Linked DNA regions of Macaca fascicularis. The protein of the gene in region 1 interacts with the protein of each later gene in a biochemical or structural test. Links are inferred from orthologs where the notes say so. Each region holds a gene or a part of one and is shown in the gene's direction. Other genes may lie near its edges. The genes, in order: RELA, GTF2B, TLE5, RXRA, TBP, PRKCZ and DPF2.

Region 1 (3,500 bases):
CTCTAGGACTTGTGTTTTACACACTCGCCAGCGGCCCTCCCAGAGCAGAGCTCCCTGCCCCAACTGGTCACACCTATATCCCCACTTCCCCTGCTCTCCTGATCACCTGTTTTCTTGCCAGTTCCTATAGAAGAACAGCGTGGGGACTACGACCTGAATGCTGTGCGGCTCTGCTTCCAGGTGACAGTGCGGGATCCATCAGGCAGGCCCCTCCGCCTGCCGCCTGTCCTTTCTCATCCCATCTTTGACAACCGTGAGTAGCGAGGGAGACACAGGAAGGGGAGAGGGTGGGCCTGGATAGGAGGAAGGGGTTGGGGTGAGTGTGGCCTGCAAGAGGTGCTCTGATTCATCAGTCATCTTGTGTATTCATCTTCTCTTCTGTGCCCAGCTCTTTGTTGGCTGGGGAGAGAAGGCAAAGAAGACCCAGAGCTGTCCTTGAGGTGTAGCTCCGGCCTGGCAGGGAGTCTAGCAGGGAGTCTGATGGGAAATGGGCATTTTCAGTATCGTGTGATGAGAAGGTGGTGTGCCCACAACTGCGATAATGACTCTAGGAAACGAACTCCCAGGAATAAGATAGTGTTCGAGAATGATGCTTCAGTGACAGAAGCCCGCAGACGAATTGGGCTGACTGATCAGCTGCAGTCTTTAATTAAGTAACCAGCAGGATGAATGGAAATAAAACGACTCTGGAACCCCAAAGATGGGAAACCAGGATAAACTGGGAGTCAGGAGGGAAGGGCTCATTGCCAAGGTGGGTATGGACTGACCTTAAAGATTGCTTTGGTCAGGTGGAGACACAGTGTGATCAGATTGGCACTCACTGGACTATAAGCTCCGTGAGAGCAGAGGTTTAGGTTTTGTATGTGGTTGTATTCTCCTTGCTTAGATCAGTAGGCAAATACTTGCTGAATTGGTTGGGGTGAGGAGCTAATAAGAAGGTCTGACTGTGGCTGCAAAGGTGTAGGTGGCAAGCTCTGGGCAACCTTGACTTGGGGCTAGGCAGGGAAGTTGCATCTCCTGCAGGCCACCCCGGGGACCTCTGGTGGCTCAGGTCATCCTTCCTTGTTCTCACTGCCTCAGGTGCCCCCAACACTGCCGAACTCAAGATCTGCCGAGTGAACCGAAACTCTGGCAGCTGCCTCGGTGGGGATGAGATCTTCCTACTGTGTGACAAGGTGCAGAAAGGTATACATCAGGAGGCAGGGGTGGGCTCTTGGGAGCAAGGGGTGAAGCTGAGCAGAGACGGGGCGTGGCAGGCAACTGGCTTTGGATACTTCCTCCTATGCCTCAGGGGCCTCAGGTGGGCCGAAGGGTGATATTAGAAGACAAGCATCCGAAGTTGAGGGGGAGACCGTGGAGGGTTAGACACACTGACCCACACTGCCACCCCATCTCCTGCAGAGGACATTGAGGTGTATTTCACGGGACCAGGCTGGGAGGCCCGAGGCTCCTTTTCACAAGCTGATGTGCACCGACAAGTGGCCATTGTGTTCCGGACCCCTCCCTACGCAGACCCCAGCCTGCAGGCTCCCGTGCGTGTCTCCATGCAGCTGCGGCGGCCTTCCGACCGGGAGCTCAGTGAGCCCATGGAATTCCAGTACCTGCCAGATACAGGTACACAGCTGGGATGGCAGCATCAGGGCAGCTGGGCTCTGCCATGAGAGAGAGGCCAAGACCGCATGTCTGGGGCTGTAGTTGAGGGCCAGAAGCTGGAGTCAGAGCTTGGGATTTATATGGTAATTGGAATCCATTTCTTGCCACATTTAATGATAAGGATACCTCAGACGTTGAGCTAGTACTACACATCTGCCCTATTCCAGGCATTTCACTGGATCACCTGATTCTAATGTCATGACCCTTTTGAAGTAGGAGATAGTGTCTGACTTGCTTGGGTTCACGTGGCTAGTAAGTAGCAGAGTCAGCATTGGAACCCAGGCCATCTGGCTTCAAGGTCCTTTTGCCACACTGGTTGTCTTGTCACTACCATAGAGCTCAGCCACATTTTGGTCAAGGTTTGAATGTCTACTTGGTACCAGGGCCTGTGCCAGGTATTGTGAATACAAAAAATGAGTAAGACAGGCTCCCTGCCCTCAGAATCTCAGTCACTTGAGGAAGACAAATATGCAAAACAGATCCTTAAGTCACAGAATGACACGTGAAACAGAGGTGTGTGCAGAGCAGCACGGGGGCACGGTGGCCTCCGGGGAGCTGGAGACAGCTGCATGGAGAAGGTGGCGTTGAAGCTGGAGAAAGACACGGAAGTGTGTTCTCTAGGCAGGTGGCCAAGCACCTGGAAGGGAAGGGGTGTTGGCAACTGCACGGCCTGTTCGGGGGCATCTTCGTGGTTTGAGCCGATGTTGGGCAGTGAGCAGGCTCAGAGAGAGGAGGGCGTGGTTAAGCTGAAGGCCTCTAAGCAGAGAAGTGACAGGAGCAGATTTGGAAGTTGACTCAGGAGGCCACATGTAGAAGATCAGAGACGAACAGACTCAAAGCGGGGAGGCCATTCTGGAAGATGTTGCTGTAGTCCAGGAAAAGAAGATGCGGCACAAACCTCGTAGAAGGAATAGCGAAGCAAGATCACATCTCCGCCACTGTCCTCAGTTACCCTTCAGCCCTGCAGCCATTTTGCATCTTACAGACCAAGCTCAGTCTCACCTCAGGACCTGTGTCTACCTATTGCCTCTGCTTGGAATGCCTGGCCCAAGGTTTTAATGCAGGTGGCTTATGCCAGTCCTTCCCTCTAAATTTAGACTGCCCCGACCTCACTTCCGGTATTGTTCCATCACCGTATCTTCCCTGAACCACTGTCACTTGAGATTTTCTGGTTTGTATATATGGTTGTGTCCCTCTCACTTTTTCACTAGGATGCCAACTTTTTGGGAGCAGACACCTTGTGTGCTTATGGCCACATCCCCAGTGTCTAGAAGGGAGGCTGGCACATAGTAGGTGCTTGATAAATATGTGTCAAGTTAGTGGTGGGGAGTGAGAGAAAAGAAGGTAATCATTCCAAGGTTTCTAGCTTGGGTGACAGGGCAGATGGCAGATGGATGGTCAGGAAATACAAGAGAAAGAATCCAGTTTTTGAGGGATGATGAGGTTGTCTTTGAATTAATGGAATTGAGGTGCTTTGGAGCTACTGAAGTACCATTGTAATTAGAAAGACAGTTCTGGGCCGGGCGCGGTGGCTCACGCCTGTAATCCCAGCACTTTGGGAGGCCGAGACGGGCGGATCACGAGGTCAGGAGATCGAGACCATCCTGGCTAACACGGTGAAACCCCATCTCTACTAAAAAGAAGTACAAAAAACTAGCCGGGCGAGGTGGCGGGCGCCTGTAGTCCCAGCTACTCGGGAGGCTGAGGCGGGAGAATGGCGTGAACCCGGGAGGCGGAGCTTGCAGTGAGCGGAGATCCGGCCACTGCACTCCAGCCTGGGCGACAGAGCGAGACTCCGTCTCAAAAAAAAAAAAAAAAAAAAAAAAAGAAAGACAGTTCTGAAAGCT
Region 2 (3,500 bases), on another chromosome or scaffold:
TTGTCTTAATATATTAAAATACTTTCCTTAGAGGAATTTATGGAGTAATCACAAATATGAAGTAATACTTACCCCTGCGTTTTCCCAACGAGAAGATTCAAGACATGTTCTGGTTAAGCTGAGTAGATAAATTTGGAGGGGAATAGGGATTATTTTATCAGTTTTCCTGTAGATATCATCATCTAAGTTGAGAGTTAACCTTCTGAATGGTATTTGCTAACATGAGAAACTTTACCCCAAACCACAAATAACTATTTACATACTATAAGAACAGTTGATTTTTGTCTTTTACGTGCATCTGATGTCCATAACCTAACCATTTATTGTATTATTTCAAACGATTTTTAAAAGGGCCTTATTTGCAGTGCTACCAAGCATTTATGATTGGGAGGTCATACCCCCTGAAATAATGATCAAATATTTGTTGCTTTTACAGCTGATTCTGTCAGATCATTTATGATTAATGTGTAAAAAAAAGATGAACGTGTCTTCTGCAAACTGCTTTGTTGTTCAAAATAAGATAAATTGAGCTAATTATTAATATCACAGATAAATTTACAAGTAGCTTTTGAAACAATTCCTTGAATGATAAAAAATTCAGTAACTCAATTCTGGACTAAAGGAAATCATCAAGTCTTAAGTTCAGCAGAGCAACTTCTACCATCCCTCATTTCTATACTTACTGGGTTCAGTGTACTATTTAAATCTGTTACTAAAGTAGTTAACAAGTAGAAAAATACAGAGAGAAATTGTTCTCTGACTAGACAAATAAGTGGCAAAGAGCACAAACTGGATGGTAATGTAAATGCTGCAGGTTATTATGGTAGCTAGTCATTACAACACTAATCAGCATTTAAAAAAATCTTAGTAGACTACATATTAAGAGAAGAAACTAATTATTTTCTATTTATGTTTTGAAAGCCTTCCACAGTAAAATAAGAATTCCAGTGGAAACTACTTGCCAGTTACTAGCTAGAATTTAAAGTAACCTAACTGGGATGTTTACTTTGAAAATCTAGCTCACACGTGTTATAATCGTATGTATTGAAGAATGTTTACAATCTTTGTCTTCCCCATCCCGCGTCTCAGGAGATTACTGTGATACATGTTGATTGGGAAGATGTAAAAATACAACTTTTTTCTTTTAGTTTGGATGCTCTTCCAAGAGTCACATGTCCAAACCATCCAGATGCGATTTTAGTGGAGGACTACAGAGCCGGTGATATGATCTGTCCTGAATGTGGCTTGGTTGTAGGTGAGTTGTTATTATGGTTTTAATTTAAATTACTGTTTAGGAGGCCAAGCACCGCGGCTCATGCCTGTAATTCCAGCACTTTGGGAGGCCGAGGCGGGAGGATCACCTGAGGTCAGGAGTTTGAGACCAGCCTGACCAACATGGAGAAACCACATCTCTACTGAAAATACAAAAACTAGCTGGGCATGATGGTGGGTGCCTGTAATCCCAACTACTCGGGAGGCTGAGGCAAGAGAATGGCTTGAACCCGGGAGGCAGAGGTTGCAGTGAGCCGAGATTGCATTGCACGCCAGCTGGGGCAACAGAGCGAGACTCCTTCTCAAAAAAAAAAAAAAACAAAAAAACTTGTTTAGAGTTCTTCACTTTTGCATAGTTTCCAAACTGTCATTTAATGAACACATTTTGACTTTCTTCCCCAACAAATAATTTATTGCCAAAAAAAAAAAAGAATTAGGAAACAGAAATGAGTAAAGTTGTTTAGAAACATATTTTATTGTATATCCAAATTTATGTTTTTATAATGTCGGGTGGGAGCTAATCCAGAAGAAATGAAAAGGCCACAGTAATTTCCTAAGTCCTTCGTCTGAAATACTTGGTGGAGGACTGGGGAGATGGGCTGACACTCATGCATATTAAATAATCAAACTTTTGTGACTTTTTTATATGTTGAGAAGTAGATAAACATGATTTTTGAGTCTCACCGAAAGCCTTTTAGTCCAAAAAAAAAAAGATTTATTATAACTTTTATATGGAATCATTTATTGATGAATGTCTAGTATAAAATTACTGTCAAAAATACCACTTAAAATTTCACCTTGTTCCTACCTGCGCACTAATTTAGATATGCAGCAGAACTTTAGACTGCAGATAGTCTGTTCAAAAACTATTCTTGTGGTGGCGTTGCAGCATCTGAGAATCGGGGTAATAGTTAGCAGTTTGAATTACTTAAGAATGAAAACTCTAGAAGGATTGTGGGCAGTATAACAGAAGCATTAGTAGTGGCATACTGTGGAATTGTCTTACTTGGTCCAAGAAGGCTGTTTGCCTCAGACCTACAGTGGGAGTTTTAAAGTATAGAGTTGCTAATAGGGATTGAGAATCATTTGCTACTGTATGCCGCTGAGTAAGGAATAGCCAATACATTTACTATATACTAGGTACTATTCTAAATGATTTGCATACTCACTCAGTTTATCCTCACAACAAACTTGTGAGGTGAGTACTAACATTATCTTCACTTTACAGATGAGGAAACTGATGTTTAGGTAGTCTAAAAGATTGACTCCATTGTCTGCATGGGAGGCAGATTTCTATCTTGTATTGCCTTTCATAATAATAAAATTTTAATCTGGGGTCATCAAAGTACAACCCATCACCTGTCTTTATATGGCCTATTTGCTAATATGGCTTTTACATTTTTAAATGGTTGAAAAAAATCATTATTTTGGGACATGTGAAAATACAAATTTCAGTATCTATAAAGTTTTTCTTCGTTTGTTTTTTGAGATGGAGTTTTGTTCTTGTTGCCGAGGCTGGAGTGCAATGGTGCAATCTTGGTTCACCACAACCTCTGCCTCCCGGGTTCAAGTGATTCTCCTGCCTCAGCCTCCCAAGTAGCTGGGATTACAGGCATGTGCCACCGTGCCCAGCAAATTTTGTATTTCTTTTTTTTTTAGTAGAGACGGGGTAGGCCGGGCGCGGTGGCTCAAGCCTGTAATCCCAGCACTTTGGGAGGCTGAGACGGGCGGATCACGAGGTCAGGAGATGGAGACCATCCTGGTTAACATGGTGAAACCCCGTCTCTACTAAAAAATACAAAAAATTAGCCGGGCGCGGTGGTGGGCGCCTGTAGTCCCAACTACTCGGGAGGCTGAGGCAGGAGAATGGCGTGAACCCGGGAGGCGGAGCTTGCAGTGAGCTGAGATCCGGGCACTGCACTCCAGCCCGGGCGACAGAGCGAGACTCTGTCTCAAAAAAAAAAAAAAAAAAAAAAAAAAAAAGTATCCCATTATATTTTCAGCCTTCCCACCAGCCTCACTTCCGCTTTAACCAGAAAGACAGTTGAGATTAATCAGCCAGAAAAGGAAGATACAATTCACAGGACTTGTAGGCTGCTTTCTTGTGCTTGGAATTCCTAATTTTTGCTTGTACTTTTCTGCTGTATCAAACCAAAGGAAGTTAATTTTGTTTTTGCTTTTATTGATTTATTCATATCAAACACCATGTTAAATCTTGAGGTCTGAAA
Region 3 (3,500 bases), on another chromosome or scaffold:
GATCATAGAAAGATACAAGATTAGGAGCCCTGGAATGCGTGTTCTCGCGGTGCACACGGAGTGGGGGAGGAGCCAGGCCAGGGCTAGGGACCTAAAGTGCTTCCAGTCTCCATCCGCAGCCCCAGCAGGCCCCTTGCCCCTCTCCCGGGCTGGCTGGGACGCTGGGTGTGGGCGTCTCTCCCTCCTGCTCTTTCCCTCCCACCTGCCTCGTTTCTTTCCTGCCCTCAGCTGTCTCTTGCTCTCTCCCCCCTTTGTCTGTCTCTACCACTCCCTTATCTCTTTGTCTCCATGCCCCCCCATCCTTCCCTGCCCTCATCTCCCGCTCCCTCTCTCTCTCCCCCATACAGTACTATGAGATGTCCTACGGTTTGAACATCGAGATGCACAAACAGGTACGCCCATCTCCTCCTCCTCCTCCTTCTCCTTTCCCCCTCCTCCCCCTCTGCCCCCCGCCTCCAGCACCCCCTTGGGCACCCCCAGGCAGGTAGCAGCCGGCCTTTGGCTGGGCACCCAGCCAGCCCTGTTATCCTGTTACCTCCTAAGCCCTTCCCAAGCTCCCACTCTCCTCCCCACCGCCTCTTTCTCAGGCCTCCCTTGGAGTGTTTTCTGGGGGTGGCGGGAGAGGCGGAGACCTTCCCCACAACCTGTGGCCCCCAGCCCTCCCTACATTCCCACGAGCGCTCACTATCTGCCAGGGGCCTGAGTGGCCCAGCCCTGAGGAATGTAGCCGAGGAATGTGCAGTCTGGCCTCATCCTGCATTTACTGCACTCCAAGCTGCAGGCGACAGCCGGTCTCCAGCCCCACCTTTGCCACTGACTGGCTGCCCTTGGGCCCGAACACGGGTTTGCTCATCCCACCCTGGCCAGACCTAGCCCCTCTTAGAGAGAAGCCGCAAGTGGCAGGGCTGGGCTGGGCCCCGTGCGGGCCTCCTGGGGCTGGCCTGCACCTGCCACCCATCCAGGACTGACGCTGACTTCATCTGTGTGTTCCAGGCGGAGATTGTCAAAAGGCTGAACGGGATTTGTGCCCAGGTCCTGCCCTACCTCTCCCAAGAGGTAAGAGCCAGGGCCTCAGGGAGGGGGTGCCAGGGGGCCCTCCCCTTGCCCAGCCCCTGTCTGCTGCAACCATCTTGGGGGGCGTGCTGGGTGCCCCAGGGCACATGCCTCCCCTCTCTGGACCTCCCCGGCTCTGGGCACCAGAGCTGGCCTATGCAGAAGAATCCCTGGGCCAGAGACACTCCAGGGGTACAGGGGTGTGGGGGCCGGGCCTCACCCTGCTCTGGAATTCCCAGCTAGAGTGAGTCATGTCATAGGTAGAAATGTCGGATGGGCCAAAACTGCACCAGGAATGTTTTTTTCTCATCTCTTCCTCCTTTCACCCTCTTGAGAACATCCTTCAGGCCCTGCGGGTGGCACAGAACCAAAGACTAGAGGGTGTGTTGCGGGGATGGGGTAGCACAGGGCGGTCCCCCATGGACACAGCCACATAGATAGGTATGAGCACATCAACATACGGGAGATACACACACAGACGCAGACACACACGGATACACGGCGTGTGCAGACAGCACAGGGCCACACACGCAGGAATGTGCAGCTACACGTAAGCACATGTGATCCTGAGCACACACTACCACATGCACACACACCCAGAGGAACCTGATGCCCAGCTTCTCTTCTCCTTTCTTGGGTTCTGAGGCTCAGGATGCAAGGCTGCCCCTCCCCAGGGCCATGTAAGGCCCATCTCCTGTCCCTGCCAAGTTTACTGTCAAAAATTTGTAATTTCCTCTTTAATCGCTGTATCTCAGGATCCTTTGGGTGCCCTGCTTTGCCCAGGGACAAGTCTAGAAGGACCCAATGAAAGCCCTAGAGAAAAGGGCAATTGGAACTCTTCAGAACGGAGGCTTCCTGGTGGCCAAAGCAAAAAGGGAGATTGATAGATTCTAGCATCTGCTGGCCACAGAGTCAGGTGTTTGGGGAGAGCTGGGGGAGGAACTGCCCTGAACCTAGGCCCATTCCCCAGCTGGCTCTGCCAGAATTCATTGGGCCCTCTCCAGCCATGGTAGGAGAAGGGCTCAATTTGGCCGGACTCAGGGCACAGTCTTGGAGCTCCTAGGATCAGGACATCCCTGTACAGTTGGGCAGGTTGTGTACTGCACAAATATTCACGTCTTTCACGTCTTTGTACATGGCTGCGGACATAGGATAGGTCAGGATCCGGGGTTTCTCCCAGACTCACTCAAAGGCCGTTTTCTAACTACTTGGCACAAAACCCTTTTAATCGTTTTCTGCACTTTTCCATTTATCTCCATTGGCCAGATGAAGAGACGAGCTTGGTGAAAGGAAGCAGTTGGAGAGAGGGAAGGCGCTTTCTGATGGGGTTGAAAACCACTGGGAGGAGCAGACATGATGGCCCCCTTGGTAGCGGGGCTCCTCCTGGCCCCAGGGTAGCCACCGCCTCCTCTCTCAGTCAGGATCAGGAGGAATCACTGCCTCTCCTCTCTCCTCACCCCCTTCCAGCACCAGCAGCAGGTCTTGGGAGCCATCGAGAGGGCCAAGCAGGTCACCGCTCCTGAGTTGAACTCTATCATCCGAGTACGTATGGGGACCTGGGCGGGTGGGCGGGGGACAGGTGGGCCCTAGGCAGCTAACGTTCCCCTCCCCCGTCCTGCAGCAGCAGCTCCAAGCCCACCAGCTGTCCCAGCTGCAGGCCCTGGCCCTGCCCTTGACCCCACTGCCTGTGGGGCTGCAGCCGCCTTCGCTGCCGGCGGTCAGTGCAGGCACCGGCCTGCTCTCGCTGTCCGCGCTGGGTTCCCAGGCCCACCTCTCCAAGGAAGACAAGAACGGGCACGACGGTGACACCCACCAGGAGGATGACGGCGAGAAGTCGGATTAGCAGGGGGCCGGGACGGGGAGGGTGGGAGGGGGGACAGAGGGGAGACAGAGGCACGGAGAGAAAGAATGTTTAGCACAAGACACAGTGGAGCTCGGGATTGGCTAAACTCCCATAGTATTTATGGCGGCTGCCTGCGGAGGCCCCAGTCCGACTTGCAGGCCACCTCTAGCTTTCTTCCTACCCCAGTCCCGGCCTCCCTCCTCCTCCCCTGCAGCCTGGATAGGTGGATACCTGCCCTGACATGTGAGGCAAGCTGAGGCCTGGAGGGTCAGATGGGAGACCAGGTCCCAAGGGAGCAAGACCTCGAGAAGCCCAGAACCCCTGGCCATTCCCCTGTTTTGAACACGTGTAACTGACAGTCTGCCCGGGCCCCTCGGGGCACACGCCACTGCGCTCTCACCCTGGTACTGCATGCACGCAATGCTAGCTGCCCCTTTCCCATCCTGGGCACCCCGAGTCTCCCCCGACCCGGGGTCCCAGGTCTGCTCCCACCTCCACTTCCTGCCCCACTCACCACCTCTGCTAGTTCCAGACGCCTCCACGCCCACCTGGTCCTCTCCCATTGCCCACAAAAGAGGGGGCACGAGGGACGAGCTTAGCTGTG
Region 4 (4,252 bases), on another chromosome or scaffold:
GGGCTACCTTGGCCTCTGGCTGTGCTGGGGGTGGACTGCCCAACCAGGGCACTCCTGTCCCAAGTGGAACCAAGACCTCCCACCGGGACAGGCCACCAGACCCCTTGTGGAATCCAGCTCCAGGTGGCCTGACTTGAGGGGCACCCAGGCAGCAGGACACCTCTCTGGTCTTGGGCTGTTATCTCTGGGCGGTGTCATGCCTGTCCATACGCGGTCATCACCTCCTCACCTACCTCCCCATTAGCGTCCCCTGACCCTGGCCACCACGTGTAGCCTGCGTGACTGGTCAGCCCCTGTGCCTCGCAGCCCGGGCCCTTAGGTCTAAGCGGGCAGCAAGCTCGCGGTGGGGGCGCGGAGCGTGGGCGCGGCCGGGCGCCTCGGCGCCTGCTCAGGAAGGCTGGGCTTGGCGGCGCGCAGGTACCTCACACCCAAACCCGAATTCCAGCCGCCTGAGACGGCGGGCAGCGCGCGGCGCGGAGGAGGCCCCAGCTGTCCCGGGGCAGGAGTGCTTCCTTTCGTTTTCAAACAAATCTGGAATTTAAAAGTCAGGCAGAGAACTACCCGGGGTATAAAAATAGCCACCGGCCACAAAGTCTATGTCCAACTCCGGGCAGCGCCTGCCCAGCCTGGTGCCTTTGAAGAGGGGTCCAGGAGTGCGGGTTGATGAGGCGGCGAAGCGCGCGCCCCTCCTCGTTCCGGGTGGGCTCATGGGTCTCTCCGTGGGGGCAGGGCGTGAAAGTGGGGGATGGACCGGGGGGAGCGTCCGGAAGACGAAACCTTCCCCGGACGAGGAGCTCGTCCTCTGGCGTTGGGGCTCATCGCCACTCCCGGGCCTCAGTTTCCCCACGTGTCCGCAGCGGCGGGGTGCGAGGTACGGGTGCCGCGGCCGTCCCGCCCCACTCTGCGCCTGCCGGGCCCGGGCCAGGGTCCCCGCGCGGCCACCGCCCGGCCGCTTTGTGTGGCCGCGCAGACAATGGCCCGGCCGCTGGGCTCCCGGCCCGGCTCTCCGCCTCCTCCGGGCCCTGTGCGTGCGAGTGTGTGTGTGCGCGCGAGTGTGTGGCGGGCTCGGGGAGGGAGTTCTGCTCCCGCCCCCGCCCCCGCCCCGCTCCCTCCGCGCCCCGCCCCCTCCCACGCCGCCTCCTCGCGGCTCCCGGGAACCCCTGGCGGAGGCGAACTCGCAAGTTTGCAGGGCGCTCGCAACTCGGCGGCCAGGCGGGCGGCGATCGCGGGGCGGCGGCGGCGGCGGTGGCCGAGGGGGCGCGCTCCGGGCGGGGCCGGGAGGGCGGGGCGCGGGCCGAGCGGTGGCGGCGGCGCTGCGCCGAGTCCGCGCCCGTCGCGGGCCCCCCGCCACCCCCCCGCCGGCGCCGCAGCGCCGCGGTCGGAGCGGGGCGCGGGCGCGCGGCGGCGGGGGCGCGGGCCGGGCGCGCGCGGCGGCGGCGCGCAGACACAAGTAGTTTACATTGTTGGGCGACTTTTGCAACAACTCGCCGCGCCGCGGCCTCCGCGCGCCGCCGCCGCCACCGCCGCCGCCGGCTCCCCGCCGCCCGGGCCCGGGCCGGCCGCGCCGGGGGCCGCCGCGCCCGCCGCCCGCTGCCTGCGCCGCCGGCCGGGCATGAGTTAGTCGCAGACATGGACACCAAACATTTCCTGCCGCTCGGTGAGTGCTCGCCGGGCCGGGCGGGGACGGGGCCAGGGGCCGGCGGGCGGGGGCCGGGGGCGCGTTGGCGGCGCGCGCGGGGGTCGCCGGCCCGGGCCGCGCTTGGACCCCTCGCCAACCTTCGCGAGAGTTCGGGCGCCGGGCCCGGAGGGGGTCGACCCGGGGCAACTTTTCGCGGGGCCCGGGCGGGGCTGGGCAGCGGGCGGGCGGCGGGGCCGAGGGGGCGGGTGGCAGGTTCGCCCGGGACGAGGAGGGGTCTCCCGGCCACCGGCGGCAGCCTGCGCCCTGGCGCCCAGCTGCAGCCGGGCCGCGCAGGAACCCGGCCGGAGCGGGAGGAGCAACTTCTGCGCTCCGCGGCTCCGGCCTCCCTGGCCTGGGGACCGGGACGGCGCGCTGGGCCCCGAGCGGCCTCTGCGCCGCCTGCCCGTCGGGCTGCGGCTTCCAGCAGGCCGCTGGCCCTTGGGTGTGTGTCCGCCCAGGAAACAGACTGGGACCCTGTTATCCCCAAAGCAGCCCACGCCCGGGTGGGCAGGGTCCCCCGGGAGCTGTATGAACAGAACGTCAGACCTAGGAAGACCCCATCCCAGAAATGGGGCCCCTCACTCTGGCAGTCCCGGGTGTTCTCCTCGGTTGGCTCTCCATTTGTGAGCAGGACAGCGCAGAGGGTCAGTTTCCCTCCTCCTGCCATCCCGCCCGGTGGCTTCCTATCCCAGACTGCCCGCCAACTCCAGGCCCAGACCTGCCGAGGAGGAGGAGAGGGCACGACTGGGGCTCCCACCCATTGCCCTCCCAAGGGTTTGGAAGCTAGTGAGAAGGGGGAGACTTTATAAATGAGCTCCGGGAAGGATATTAATTTGGTGGTGGGACGGCAGCCAGGCTGTCAGGCCGGGTGAAGGATTTGTGCTGAATGGAAATTGAAACAGCTGATTATGAATGAAACCCCGCCATTCTTAGCCCCTCCTGCCCACCCTCCCTACAGCCTGGGGTGCAGCTTGGCCACCCCAGGAGGTGCTCAGAGGCCAGTGTAGCTGCAGGGATGTTTAGTGAAATGGGACATCAAGGGGAGCCAGCATGGACCCAGCCCCTCCTGGATATGAAGGTGAGAGTCTGAGTACCCCTACTACTCACAGGCAGGTGTGCTGCTCCGTGACTGGGGCGGGGTGGGGGGTGGGTTCCAGGTTTGTCAGACCTGACACTTACTCCCTGACTCTATCATGATGGAGTGGTGGGCTTGAGACCTTGAATGAGCTCCAGGGCTCAGCCTCCAGGGGTGGGCGCTCATGCCCATTTTGCAGATGAGAAAACTGGCAGGGAGAGGCTGAGCCCCCAGGATACAAAGTGGTGGATTTGGGATTAGCACCCGCAGCTGGTGGTACTGCTGAGTGTGAGGCAGGAGGGAACGCTGCGCTGTCTGTGACTGAGTGCACTGTGGGGCAGGGGGGGCTGCCTTTCCTCGTTAAAGCTTTGCACTCACACATCTGCACACACACATCCACACGTACAGAGCTACGCTCTCCCAGACGATTCCTCTGGAACAAGAATGCTCAGCTCAGTGTCTGGCCCCCGGACGTGGCAGGGGCCTGGCTGGTTGCACTTCAGCTGAGTACTGAGAACCGAACAGGTCCCTGTTTTTAATGCCCTGGGTGGGACAGGGATAGTCCACGGAGTTGGTGTATGTAGGGTGAGGGAGCAAGGGTGCCCAGTCCCCATGGTGGCTTGCTGGAGTCCCTGTGAAGAGGAGAGGTCGTGCCTCTGAGCCACTGCCCCAGGGATCTCCCTGGGCACTCCCCTGCCACAAGGAAGCTGGGAGTCTTCTGTTCTCCAGCTCTCCCGACCAGCCCGTGGCCTCCCAGGCAGCCCACGCCCCAGGGCTGAGCAGAGAGTCCTGGGCTCTGATTACATTTTATTTTTTTTCTAAGCTTGTGACCAGCTCTGAAGTCCAGAGCAGTCGAAGGTCCATTTAAGCGGTTACTTGTCTAAGCCCTTTTGTCAACACAGCCTAATCCCTCCTGGGGGTGAGTGGCGGGCGGAGGGCCTGGCTTGTCTTGGCCCGGCTGGCCGACCAGTCAGACCTGGAGCTGCTGGGGGAGACTCGGCCACCCCTTGCAGCTGCCCGGCCACTTTTGGGGTCTGGAGTAGAGAGGGCTTCTTCCTCCCTGCATTCACTGCTGCTGGGCTTGGTGGGCCGGGGGAGGATCCCGGTCAGTGCCCACCGAGCCACTCAGTGAGGGCAGGGATGAGTCCAGCATCCAGATCTGGAAGGAAAGCAAGGCCGAGGGACTCGCCAGAGGCAGCCCCAGCTTCCTGGCCCTGCTGCCCAGGGCTGGCCGTGCTCCTACGCCTGCCGGGGAGAAGGCCCTGGCTGGCCTTATCCTGAATGGTGGGACTCAGGCGGAGTCCACGGAGTCCAAAGGTCTCAGACCGCACCAGACCCCATGTGCCTGTGGAGAGACCCGCCGGCAAAGCTGTAGGCCCACTGACCACTCTTGGAGTCAGGGCACTCAGGGACCTGGGTGAGCTTGCAGCCTGGGTGAGGGGCTTCTGGTAACATCAGAGCCCTTGGGACCCAAAATAGAGCACATTCCGGGGCCTCCC
Region 5 (3,500 bases), on another chromosome or scaffold:
GTAGTTGAGAAAGCAGCAGCAGCGTTTGAGAGGACTGACTCCAGTTTTGAACTACGTTCTAGCGTGGGTAAAACGCTGTCAAACAGCGTCGTGTGCTACAGAGACATCTCAGTGAAAGGAAGAGTCAGTCCTTGTGGCAAACTTCGTCAGTCTTATTTTAAGAAATGGCCACAGCTACCACCCTGATCAGTCAGCAGCTGTCAGCATCGAGGCAAGATCCTCTATCAGCAAAAAGATTATGACTTGCTGCAGGCTCACAGGATTGTTAGCATTTTTAGCAATAAAGCATTTTAAAATTAAGGTATATACATATTATTAGACATAATGCTATTGCACACTTAATAGACTATAGTGTAAACATAACTTTTGTAGACACTGGGAAACCAAAAAATTCATGCTGCTTGCTTCATTGAGATGGTCTGGAACCTAACCCATAGTATCTCTGAGGTATGCCTGTATCTTCATTTGTAATATGCCCTTCACATCTTTTGTCCTTTTTCATTATTTTATTTGTTGATCTTTTTTTATGGAGTTGTCAGAGCTCTTTATTATTCTGTTTACCAGTCCTTTCTCAGATGTATGTATTATAGGTATTTTTTTCCCAATCTGTGGCCTGCCTTTTAATTTTCTCAATGGTGTCTTTCAGAGAACAGAAGTTTTTAATTTTTCCAAAGTTCAGTTTATCCATTTTTCTTCATGTTTATCCACTGTGTGGTATTAAAGAAGAAAGCAATGTGTATAAGAATAGCTGGTTCTTCCGTAATTAAAGATTAATAACCCCATTATTCTCAGAGGGCGTCTGTCTTTGCACATCTCACCTGCTGTTCCACCAAGAAACTTCCACAAACACTCAGCAGCAGCCAGCCTAACCTGTTTTTCTCCTTGCTTTCCACAGGGTGCCATGACTCCCGGAATCCCTATCTTTAGTCCAATGATGCCTTATGGCACTGGACTGACCCCACAGCCTATTCAGAACACCAATAGTCTGTCTATTTTGGAAGAGCAACAAAGGCAGCAGCAGCAACAACAGCAGCAGCAGCAGCAACAACAGCAACAACAGCAGCAGCAGCAGCAGCAGCAGCAACAGGCAGTGGCCGCTGCAGCCGTTCAGCAGTCAACATCCCAGCAGACAACACAGGGAACCTCAGGCCAGGCACCACAGCTCTTCCACTCACAGACTCTCACAACTGCACCCTTGCCGGGCACCACTCCACTGTATCCCTCCCCCGTGACCCCCATGACCCCCATCACTCCTGCCACTCCGGCTTCGGAGAGTTCTGGGATTGTACCGCAGCTGCAGTGAGTACTTGGTGTTTTATGTTTCCTCCCACTTAGGAGTCCCTTTGAGTTGTGTTCCTGCTCTGTTTTCTGATGGATCCTTTTATTAAGGGAGGGAATGGCACTAACAGCAATTGTGTATCAAAATTTGCTTTATCTCACACTTGGGAAAGGGAAGCAAAGCCATCTTAGTCAGTGCCCTCAGTAAAAGGTTCTTAACAGGTTTAGGAATGTGGTCATTTGTGTTTATATACCTGAGCCAATAAAATTTAATGTGATTTTCACTGTCATTATTATTATATTATAGACATTTCCCTGTATCTGATATCGCCAAATCACAATGTTATGTAGTCTCTTTCCCTTATGCTATTTTAGGTCTTTAGTCACAGTATCAGTATAATTTCTGGCAGTTCTTGTTTTTTATTTTTACTGTGGGGACTGCATATGAATCTTTGAAGGTCTGTGTCCTTCCCACAAAATGAGGATGACTGTTCTTGTCCTAAATGGATTTTTCTACCTAAGTGAAGTGGGTTCTATATGTAACAGGGTATTAGGGATAGGAAATAATTTCATCTTCCTGAAAAAACAACAAATATTTCCAAATAATCCCCGTCAATAAGAAGCGTGCAGCTTTTCATGTTAGAAAGCTTATGACCAAATTAAAAGGTTACTTGCAGTCTCTGCATCTCCTCAGTTTTCTTGTACAGATACCTTCCTCCTTCATACTCCCTTTAGATCTAGTATTTCCTATTTGCATTTATTCACCTTGCTACATATATGGTTGTTGTTTATAAGCTATCTCTGATCATTTTTGGAACTTAGTGGTGTGTAATCGTGGATGCTGACTTTTACCCAAAGACCTAAATCTTGCCTCTACAATTTTGTTTGACCCCACACACAATTTTAAAAACAAAGTAATTTTAGTGATTTTAGAGACAGCCCTTTTTAGCTCACCCTTGTCTGTACCGCTCCCATGTGTCCAGCATGCTTGTCGGACTCCCAGGAAAATTTAAGTTTGCATTTCTGATTTAAATAATAAAGTATAAACAGTACAGTCAGGTGTTTGTTTCTTGCCGTGCCTTTGTTGTTCTGATACTCCCGAGAGCATCCAGTCATCCACGTCCCTGAGCTGCTCTCTACTAAGAACCCTCCTGCGTGGTAATTCAGTGCCCTCTCAGTCTTGTAGGCTTAAGAGGGATTAAGGCAAATATTTCATGAATGAAAACATATAAGAATACATTTAACAATTATGTGATGAAAGTTGTGATAGATGTACTAAAATCTACTTGATATAGTTCATCAGTGGACAAATGCTAAAGCCAGGTGTGTATACAACGGTGATTGGAAGGAAAGAGATGATATGGAAATGAAAACATTGTGTGGATCAACCTAATTGGCTTTACGGTTGTGTATCATAGACTGCCATTCTCTTTTGAACAAAATTATGAGCCATCAAGTTTTCAAAAGTTTTGCATTTTGACAGTATAAGAAAAAGAACCAGAAGCAACAGTGAGCTATAACCTATTGTATTTGAACCTATGTATTTGAAATCTGGACTCTATATTCTTGGGATGGTGATTGCCAGGTCCATGCAAGACACTTGTTGCGCAGTTAATTGCATTCAAAGGACATTGCCCATTTCAAGTATATGTACTTTATTTATTTATTTATTTATTTATTTATTTAAGACGGAGTCTCGCTCTGTCGCCCAGGTTGGAGTGCAGTGGTGTGATCTCAGCTCACTGCAAACTCCACCTCCTGGGTTCACGCCATTCTCCTGCCTCAGCCTCCTGAGCAGCTGGGACTACAGGCTCCCGCCACCATGCTCGGCTAATTTTTTTGTATTTTTAGTAGAGACGGGGTTTCACCGTGTTAGCCAGGATGGTCTCGATCTCCTGACCTCGTGATCCGCCCACCTCAGCCTCCCAAAGTGCTGGGATTACAGGCGTGAGCCACTGTGCCTGGCCAAGTATATATACTTTCATAAGCAGAAAAAATGTATAATGAAAATGTAGGTTTTTGTTTAAATTTTTATTAAAACTTCTAATAGAGTTGCTTTTTAGTATATCTTTATCCTTGTATAAGTTATTTATTAAGTGATGTAAGAACACTGAGAAATGTAAAGGGTCAGTGGACCCAGATGGCTCCGTTTATCCTTATTTACTGAGAGATAATTAGAAGAGAAAGCAGGGTTTTGCCTTTTTTTTTTTTTTTTTTGCTAA
Region 6 (3,500 bases), on another chromosome or scaffold:
ATCCTCCATCCCTTCACTAGACATCCCCTCCTGCCCCACCCACCCATTCACTAGACACCAAAATCTGATGACTAATTATTTGCAGATGGACCCCTGGGGGCGTGTGTCACAAATGTACATCCCCAGGTCCCATGGTCAGAGTCGGCAGGTCTGAGTGGGGCCCAGGAAGCTGCATTTTCAAAAGACTCTAAAATAGAATCAGACATGGCTGCTGTGTAGAGTTGCCCTTCACCGTCGCCTGGTGGAGGAGCAGGGCCCACGGGGTCGCTGTGTTCCCAGCGCGTTCCTGACGACACCGTAACGCCTCTTCCTCCCTCTCTCGCCAGTTGCTTACATTTCCTCATCCCGGAAACATGACAGCATTAAAGACGACTCTGAGGTGAGTCTGCGGAGCAGCTCGCTACCTTTCCAGCGTCCTCTTGGAAGTCTGTGAGCCTGCCTCTGGGGCAGTCACATAAATCTGGATGTGAAATATACGGTCCGGGATGTTGCTAATCTTTACGGGTGTGGGTGTCTAGAAAGAAGCCCTTGTTCTTGGGTCTTATTTCAGGCACATCCTTGGTGATTCCCTGGAGGCAGCTGTCCCAGCGGGTGGTCTGGGGACCACACCCTGGGGGGAAGCCGCGCCCCACATCCTCTCCACCCAGGCAGTACAGTGGCCCAGGGGCTGGCTTTTGAGCTGTAATTTTTATCAAGTTGTGTCTGCACCACGGCCTTCCTTTCGTTGCCTCGTTTGGCCGTCCTGGCAAACCCCTCTAATGCCTTTTCACGTCCTTCCCCAACTCAAGCGAAGAGGCTCAACTGAGCCTCGCGTCTGTGGCCAGCTCTGCACCACAAACCCTGAGAAGGGAACAGAAGAGCTTGCTGTGTTCTCAGCCTCTGCTCGTAAAACCCAAGAAAGGGCTGCGCTGGCAAAGCCCACACCTTTCCAGAGCAGCGGCACATACCACCCTCACAACTCGTGCTCCTTCCTGGCCGTCCTGTGTCTGGAGGGAGGCTGGGTCACTTAGAAAGCAGAATCCAAAGCCGGGCACGGTGGCTCACACCTCCAATCCCAGCATTTTGGGAGGCTGGGCCGGGCAGATCACTTGAGTCCAGAAGCTTGAGAACAGCCTGGGCAGCGTAGTGAAACCCTATTCCTGCAAAAATAAATACAAAATAATTAGCTGGGCATGGTGGCATGGGCCTGTGGTCCCAGCTGCTTGGGAGGCTGAGGTGGGAGGATCGCCTGAGCTTGGGAGGTGGAGGCTGCAGTGAGCCGAGATTGCGCCACTGCACTCCAGCCTGGGTGGCAGAGGAAGACCCTGTCTCAAAAAAAGCAGAATCCATTCTGCTGCACAGAACAGCACCTCCTAGCGAACTACCTCCTCCACCCCGACATCCTTGCCTGGTGTAGCTTGCAGGAGGCCGAGGCTTCTCTTTTTCCTCGGAGCGCCTTTCTTCTGTATATTTCTAATAATTATTTCTAATAATGTGTGCTTGCCGGTTTGGGAGCTCTTGGCAGGCATTAGCTACGTTTGCTTTACCTTCCTTCCCCGAGGGAGGGCCCTGATGGGGAAGGATGGGCCCAGGCCCTGGGCCGCATGTCCCAGTGGCCACCTCTTCAGCCCGACTGGTAGGGCTGAAGGCCTGGGGGTCCCTCCCACTGGCAGCTGTGACCAGAGCCATGGTCTGTGGAAACGAGCAGCTTCCGACTTTCTAGCACCTTCCTCAGAAGCACAGCCTGAAGTTCTCACCTTTTGTGCCCCGGTTTAGATGGGAGTGTGGGGGTGGGATCTGTGGGACGCAGAGCTGAGACTGGGATCGTGAGGCTCTAGGCTCTGAGGAGCAGATCTCTGTTGGGACCGCATGAGTGATGCGTGGTCCTCTGAATCTCCCGGGACCCCTCTCCCCTCACTTTCTGGGGTCTTGTTCTCCCTTCCTAGGACCTTAAGCCAGTTATCGATGGGATGGATGGAATCAAAATCTCTCAGGGGCTCGGGCTGCAGGACTTCGACCTAATCAGAGTCATAGGGCGCGGGAGCTACGCCAAGGTTCTCCTGGTGCGGTTGAAGAAGAATGACCAAATTTACGCCATGAAAGTGGTGAAGAAAGAGCTGGTGCATGACGACGAGGTAGGTGCCACTTCTCACGGCGCTCGGGGTCCCGGGAACGCACCGCCCTGGGGCCGCCACCTGGGGAAGAGGGCATTAGAAGGCCATAATGAATGCTCCAGGCTTTAGCAAAATTAATCCAGGCATGAGAGTCCTGGCCTCGTATTGATGGAGTTTGCGCAAAATCAATAGTGATGCGTCGCGTAACAACCGGGACGTGTTCTGGAAAGTGCCTGGTCAGGTGATGGCACCGTTGTGTGAATGTCACAACGCGTGCTCCACAAACCCAAACGGCGCAGCCAACTCCGCGGCCAGGATGCACAGTGCAGCTCCTGCTCTCAGGCTGCCGGCCCGCACGGCTGTCCGTGCACTGCACACCGCAGGCAGTGAGCGGACCACCGCAGAGAGCACTCGTGTCTAAGCTTTGAAAAGGTGAAGATGGGTATCGTCTCCGCGACCTTCGCGTGTGTGGCCAACCACTGATACGTCGCCTTCCAGCAGACTGCGGTTGAGCTTGAGGACGTCGTCACCCTTGTTAGGAAATCCCTGGGGTTGAGCTGAACCGGGCGGGTGATGGGGTAGGACAGGAAGCTGCCCAGAGGCACTGCCTCACTCCGTCCTGCACAAGGCCCCAGCTTTGAGGGACGTGCTGAACTGCCGCGGCTCTGTGTAGCAGATCTTCCCACACCAGCTGTTTCTGGGGGAGAAGTTTATTGATTATAGGATCAATGGTTTATTTGTTGAAATCTTTTTTTTTTTGGAAATAGGTTCTTAAACAGGGTCTTACTCTGTCACCCAGGCTGGAGTGACTTGATCACAGCCCATGTAGCCTCAAACTCCCCAGCTCAGGTGATCCTCCCACTTCAGCCTCCAGAGTGTTGGGACTACAGGCATGAGCCACCACCCCCAGCTGTATAATTTTGTATTTTCTGTAGAGGCAGTGTCTCACTCTGTCACCCAGGCTGGAGTGCAGAGCATGATCACAGCTCACCTCCTGCAGCCTCCACCTCCTCCTGCAGCCTCCACCTCTTGCTGGGCTGAGGTGATCTTCCCACTTCAGCCTCCAGAGGAGCCAGGGCTACAGGCGTGCACCACCATGCCCGGCTATTTTTTGTGTTTTTTGTAGAGACGGGGTTCAACTATGTTGCCCAGGCTGGTTTCGAATTCCTGCACTCATGCACTCTGCCCCACTCAGCCTGCTGGAGTGCTGGGATTACAGGCATGAGTCACTGCTCTTGGCCTATTTGTTGAAATCTTGATTCTGACTTCATACACCTTTTTGTTTTAATTATAGTAAAATACACATGGCATAGAATTTGACATTTTAAAATGTACAGTTAGGGCCAGGCATGGTGGCTCACACCTATAATCCCAGCACTTTGGGAGGCCAAGACGGGTGGATTACCT
Region 7 (3,500 bases), about 320 kb from region 1:
TTCCTCCTGCCTTTCTCATTTCCTGGGATGCTAGCTTTAAAATCTCTGGAATGGCATGGGGGTAGGAGCAGTGGAACTTCTGCTGTGCTCTACTCCTCAAAGTCCTGGAGGCTGCCTTTACCACTGCTTGTCTCCCACAAACCTACTCCTAGAGCTGCTCAGCCCAGTGCATGGGGTGGCTTCAGAAGCATTATCAGGAGCCCATTACAATCAGACCCTTCCGCTCCCTCCCCAGATCAGGCACCTGGTGGTCAGCTCATGTTCCCCACTGCCCCACCACCTCCTGCCATCCTCTCTCCCCATTCCTTTCCTGCTGGCCCCCTTGCCCTTCTTGGTATTACCTGTCAAGATGACAGAATGCCTCGTGGGGATCTGCTTTCCTTGCTGATTGGCAGGCCTGGACAGGGCAATTATGTGGGAGTGTGTTTGAATTTCTCTGGGGACAACTGCCCAACTGGCTTCATTGATAGGATATCCCCAAGAAACCCACCCCTGCTTGTTTACGCACATTCAGAGGAGATGGGCTCCATGGTCTGTGTGGGGTAGCTGAGCCTCCCACGTTTACTGATGGGTAAAAACGTTTGGAGTTGTATCCGCTTTTCCCCCTTCCTGCCACACCAAAGACTTATAGGAATATCCTTCCCTTTCCTGACCTGGAGCGTCCCAGACTGTTACTATATCCCAGAGCAACTAACTAGTGATGGGGCGAGGGCTAAGCCCCCAAAAGTCAACATGGAAGAGCAGTGGTGGCCATGGGGTTGGAGTTTAGGAGGTAAAAGAGTCCCAGAAGCTAGAGAGCCCCAGGGCTTGATGCTCGTGGCTGAGGGAAAGGGGCCATCACTTAAGGCCTGTCCCAGAGTAGAGCTGCTAGGGGAAGGGATGGTTGCCCTCTGCCTCAGGTGGAGCCCCCACAGTTTGCAGGGGTGGGGACATGTTACTCTTGTATCCTAACACCTTTCTCTGCAATCTTCTCCCCACTCAGTTTGTGGAAAACGTTACAAGAACCGACCAGGCCTCAGTTACCACTATGCCCACTCCCACTTGGCTGAGGAGGAGGGCGAGGACAAGGAAGACTCCCAGCCACCCACTCCTGTTTCCCAGAGGTCTGAGGAGCAGAAATGTAAGCTGAGGTGTCAGAAGTGGTGGGCAAGCAGAAGTTGGCCTGGTTATGAAAACCACTCCTTGCATGGGTGTTGAGTGGCTCAGGGACCCCATGGGCGTCATCAAAAGTCTTTCTCTCTGCAGCCAAAAAGGGTCCTGATGGATTGGCCTTGCCCAACAACTACTGTGACTTCTGCCTGGGGGACTCAAAGATTAACAAGAAGACGGGACAACCCGAGGAGCTGGTGTCCTGTTCTGACTGTGGCCGCTCAGGTACTGCCTCCCGTGAAGGCTGCTGCTGTGCCCAGTCCCCAAGGGGCTCTTGGCTTGCTGGCCTCTAGTGCTGTCATAACCAGCCCACCTCACTTTACCTAACCAAGAGAAGATGTAGCCACAAGCAGGAGCTCCTCTCTTCCCCCTGCATTTCCAACTGTCTGTCTCTCTCACTTCCCCCACTATAGGGCATCCATCTTGCCTCCAGTTTACCCCCGTGATGATGGCGGCAGTGAAGACGTACCGCTGGCAGTGCATCGAGTGCAAATGTTGCAACATCTGCGGCACCTCTGAGAATGACGTGTGTATCCCCGCCCCCTCCTCAGCATGGCTCCTTCTGGGCTTTTACTGCTGTTTGCACAGTTCCCTCTAAAGTGAGCTTTCTTTTTTTAAAAAGGGAGCAAGATCCCTCCTACATGCCACATGCCCCTCCCTAGCATCTCAGTCAGAACTCTGATTTGTTGCCAGATAATATATATATTGAGTGCTGATTTTATGTCAGACACTGTTCTAGGCACTAAAGATACTAAAGACAAACAAGGTCCCTGCCGCATGAGATTTACATTCTTACAGGAACAACAATAAGCAAGGATGTGAGATTTGTATAATGTGCCATGAAAAAAATGAAACCAGTAATGTGGCAGAGAATAATTGCATAAGTGATTTATTTTGATGGTGAGGTTTGGCTCTTCTGGGAGGGGGATGCTGGTGTTGAAATTTTGTGATACCAAGGAGCCAGTCAAGCAGATTTGGAGGTAGAGCAGTCCCAGGAAAGGAGCAGCCAGTGCCAAGGCCTTATAGTGGACAAGCCAAATGATAGGGCATGGGAGAGGATGGCGGGGGATGAGATGAGAGAGGCAAGCACTGCCAGATCTGTGGGGCCTTGGATTTTATTCTAGGTACAATAGGACACTGTCAAAGGGTTTTAATCAGGGAAGTGACATGGTTATTTATGTATGTATTTATTTATTTTATTTATTTTTTTGAGACGGAGTCTTGCTGTGTCGCCCAGGCTGGAGTACAGTGGCACGATCTCGGCTCACTGCAACCTCTGCCTTCCAGGTTCAAGCGATTCTCCTGCCTCAGCCTCCCAAGTAGCTGGGATTACAGACACGTGCCACCACATCTGACTAATTTTGTATTTTTAGTAGAGATGGGGTTTCTCCATGTTGGCCAGGCTGGTATCGAACTCCTGACGTCCGGTGATCCGCCTGCCTCAGCCTCCCAAAGTGCTGGGATTATAGGTGTCAACCACCGCGCCCGGCTGTTTATTTATTCTTTATGTATTTATTTTTTTATTTTGAGACAGAGTCTCTCTGTCACCCAGGCTGGAGTGCAGCGATGCAATCTTAGCTGACTACCACCTCTCCCTTTAGGCTCAAGCAATCCAATCCTTCCACCTCAGCCTCCCAGGTAGCTGGGACCACAGATGCACACCACCATGCCTGGCTTCTTTTTTTTATATTTTTGATAGAGACAGGGTCTTGCCATATTGCTGAGCTGGTCTCAAACTCCTGAGCTCAAGCAATCCTCCCACCTTGGCCTCTCAAAGTGCTGGGATTACAGGCGTGAACCCACCATGTTTGGCATTGTCTTATATTTTATTTTATATTTATTTATTTATTTCAAGATGGAGTTTTACTGTTGTCACCCAGGCTGGAATGCAGTGACACAATCTTGGCTCACTGCAACCTCTGCCTCCAGGTTCAAGCAATTCTCCTGTCTCAGCCTCTCAAGTAGCTGGGATTACAGGCGCTCGCCACCACGCCTGGCTAATTTTTAGTAGAGACCGGGTTTCACCATGTTGGCCAAGCTCGTCTCGAACTCCTGACCTCAGGTGATCTACCTGCCTCAGCCTCCCAAGATGGTGGTATTACAGGCGTGAGCCACCGCGCTTGGCCCTTGTCTTATATTTTTAAAAGAAGACTTTGGCTGCTGTGTGGAGGGTAGACTGTAGGGACAAGGATGGAGGCTTATGCATATAATCCTAACACTTGAGAGGCTGAAGCGGGAGGATCACTTGAGCCCAGGAATTCAGAACCAGCCTGAGCAACATAGGGAGACCCTGTCTCCACAAAAAAAATTAAAACTTAGTGAGGTGTGGTGGCACACATGTTAACCCCAGC

What was found.
Region 2: the proteins of RELA (region 1) and GTF2B form a complex in vitro, tested with the Homo sapiens proteins (2 studies listed by BioGRID and IntAct). The link is inferred for Macaca fascicularis from reciprocal best matches to the Homo sapiens genes RELA and GTF2B.
Region 3: the proteins of RELA (region 1) and TLE5 form a complex in vitro, tested with the Homo sapiens proteins (2 studies listed by BioGRID). The link is inferred for Macaca fascicularis from reciprocal best matches to the Homo sapiens genes RELA and TLE5.
Region 4: the proteins of RELA (region 1) and RXRA form a complex in vitro, tested with the Homo sapiens proteins (2 studies listed by BioGRID). The link is inferred for Macaca fascicularis from reciprocal best matches to the Homo sapiens genes RELA and RXRA.
Region 5: the proteins of RELA (region 1) and TBP form a complex in vitro, tested with the Homo sapiens proteins (2 studies listed by BioGRID). The link is inferred for Macaca fascicularis from reciprocal best matches to the Homo sapiens genes RELA and TBP.
Region 6: of the proteins of RELA (region 1) and PRKCZ, one has a biochemical effect on the other in vitro, tested with the Homo sapiens proteins (2 studies listed by BioGRID). The link is inferred for Macaca fascicularis from reciprocal best matches to the Homo sapiens genes RELA and PRKCZ.
Region 7: the proteins of RELA (region 1) and DPF2 form a complex in vitro, tested with the Homo sapiens proteins (2 studies listed by BioGRID). The link is inferred for Macaca fascicularis from reciprocal best matches to the Homo sapiens genes RELA and DPF2.

What each region holds. Positions count from the first base shown.
Region 1 is NC_088388.1:8,709,420-8,712,919, forward strand, and holds part of RELA (transcription factor p65), read left to right. Parts: intron 1-121; coding exon 122-253; intron 254-1,080; coding exon 1,081-1,185; intron 1,186-1,401; coding exon 1,402-1,614; intron 1,615-3,500. UniProt on the Homo sapiens protein: NF-kappa-B is a pleiotropic transcription factor present in almost all cell types and is the endpoint of a series of signal transduction events that are initiated by a vast array of stimuli related to many biological processes such as inflammation, immunity, differentiation, cell growth, tumorigenesis and apoptosis.
Region 2 is NC_088375.1:145,807,540-145,811,039, forward strand, and holds part of GTF2B (transcription initiation factor IIB), read left to right. Parts: intron 1-1,148; coding exon 1,149-1,255; intron 1,256-3,500. UniProt on the Homo sapiens protein: General transcription factor that plays a role in transcription initiation by RNA polymerase II (Pol II). Involved in the pre-initiation complex (PIC) formation and Pol II recruitment at promoter DNA.
Region 3 is NC_088393.1:3,755,860-3,759,359, reverse strand, and holds part of TLE5 (TLE family member 5), read left to right. Parts: intron 1-347; coding exon 348-392; intron 393-993; coding exon 994-1,056; intron 1,057-2,520; coding exon 2,521-2,595; intron 2,596-2,674; coding exon 2,675-2,896; 3' UTR 2,897-3,500. UniProt on the Homo sapiens protein: Transcriptional corepressor. Acts as a dominant repressor towards other family members. Inhibits NF-kappa-B-regulated gene expression. May be required for the initiation and maintenance of the differentiated state.
Region 4 is NC_088389.1:5,036,650-5,040,901, reverse strand, and holds the start of RXRA (retinoic acid receptor RXR-alpha), read left to right. Parts: upstream 1-1,452; 5' UTR 1,453-1,629; coding exon 1,630-1,657; intron 1,658-4,252. UniProt on the Homo sapiens protein: Receptor for retinoic acid that acts as a transcription factor.
Region 5 is NC_088378.1:506,202-509,701, reverse strand, and holds part of TBP (TATA-box-binding protein), read left to right. Parts: intron 1-895; coding exon 896-1,299; intron 1,300-3,500. UniProt on the Homo sapiens protein: The TFIID basal transcription factor complex plays a major role in the initiation of RNA polymerase II (Pol II)-dependent transcription.
Region 6 is NC_088375.1:232,633,381-232,636,880, reverse strand, and holds part of PRKCZ (protein kinase C zeta type), read left to right. Parts: intron 1-326; coding exon 327-379; intron 380-1,925; coding exon 1,926-2,114; intron 2,115-3,500. UniProt on the Homo sapiens protein: Calcium- and diacylglycerol-independent serine/threonine-protein kinase that functions in phosphatidylinositol 3-kinase (PI3K) pathway and mitogen-activated protein (MAP) kinase cascade, and is involved in NF-kappa-B activation, mitogenic signaling, cell proliferation, cell polarity, inflammatory response and maintenance of long-term potentiation (LTP).
Region 7 is NC_088388.1:9,029,184-9,032,683, reverse strand, and holds part of DPF2 (zinc finger protein ubi-d4), read left to right. Parts: intron 1-982; coding exon 983-1,120; intron 1,121-1,245; coding exon 1,246-1,374; intron 1,375-1,562; coding exon 1,563-1,675; intron 1,676-3,500. UniProt on the Homo sapiens protein: Plays an active role in transcriptional regulation by binding modified histones H3 and H4. Is a negative regulator of myeloid differentiation of hematopoietic progenitor cells. Might also have a role in the development and maturation of lymphoid cells.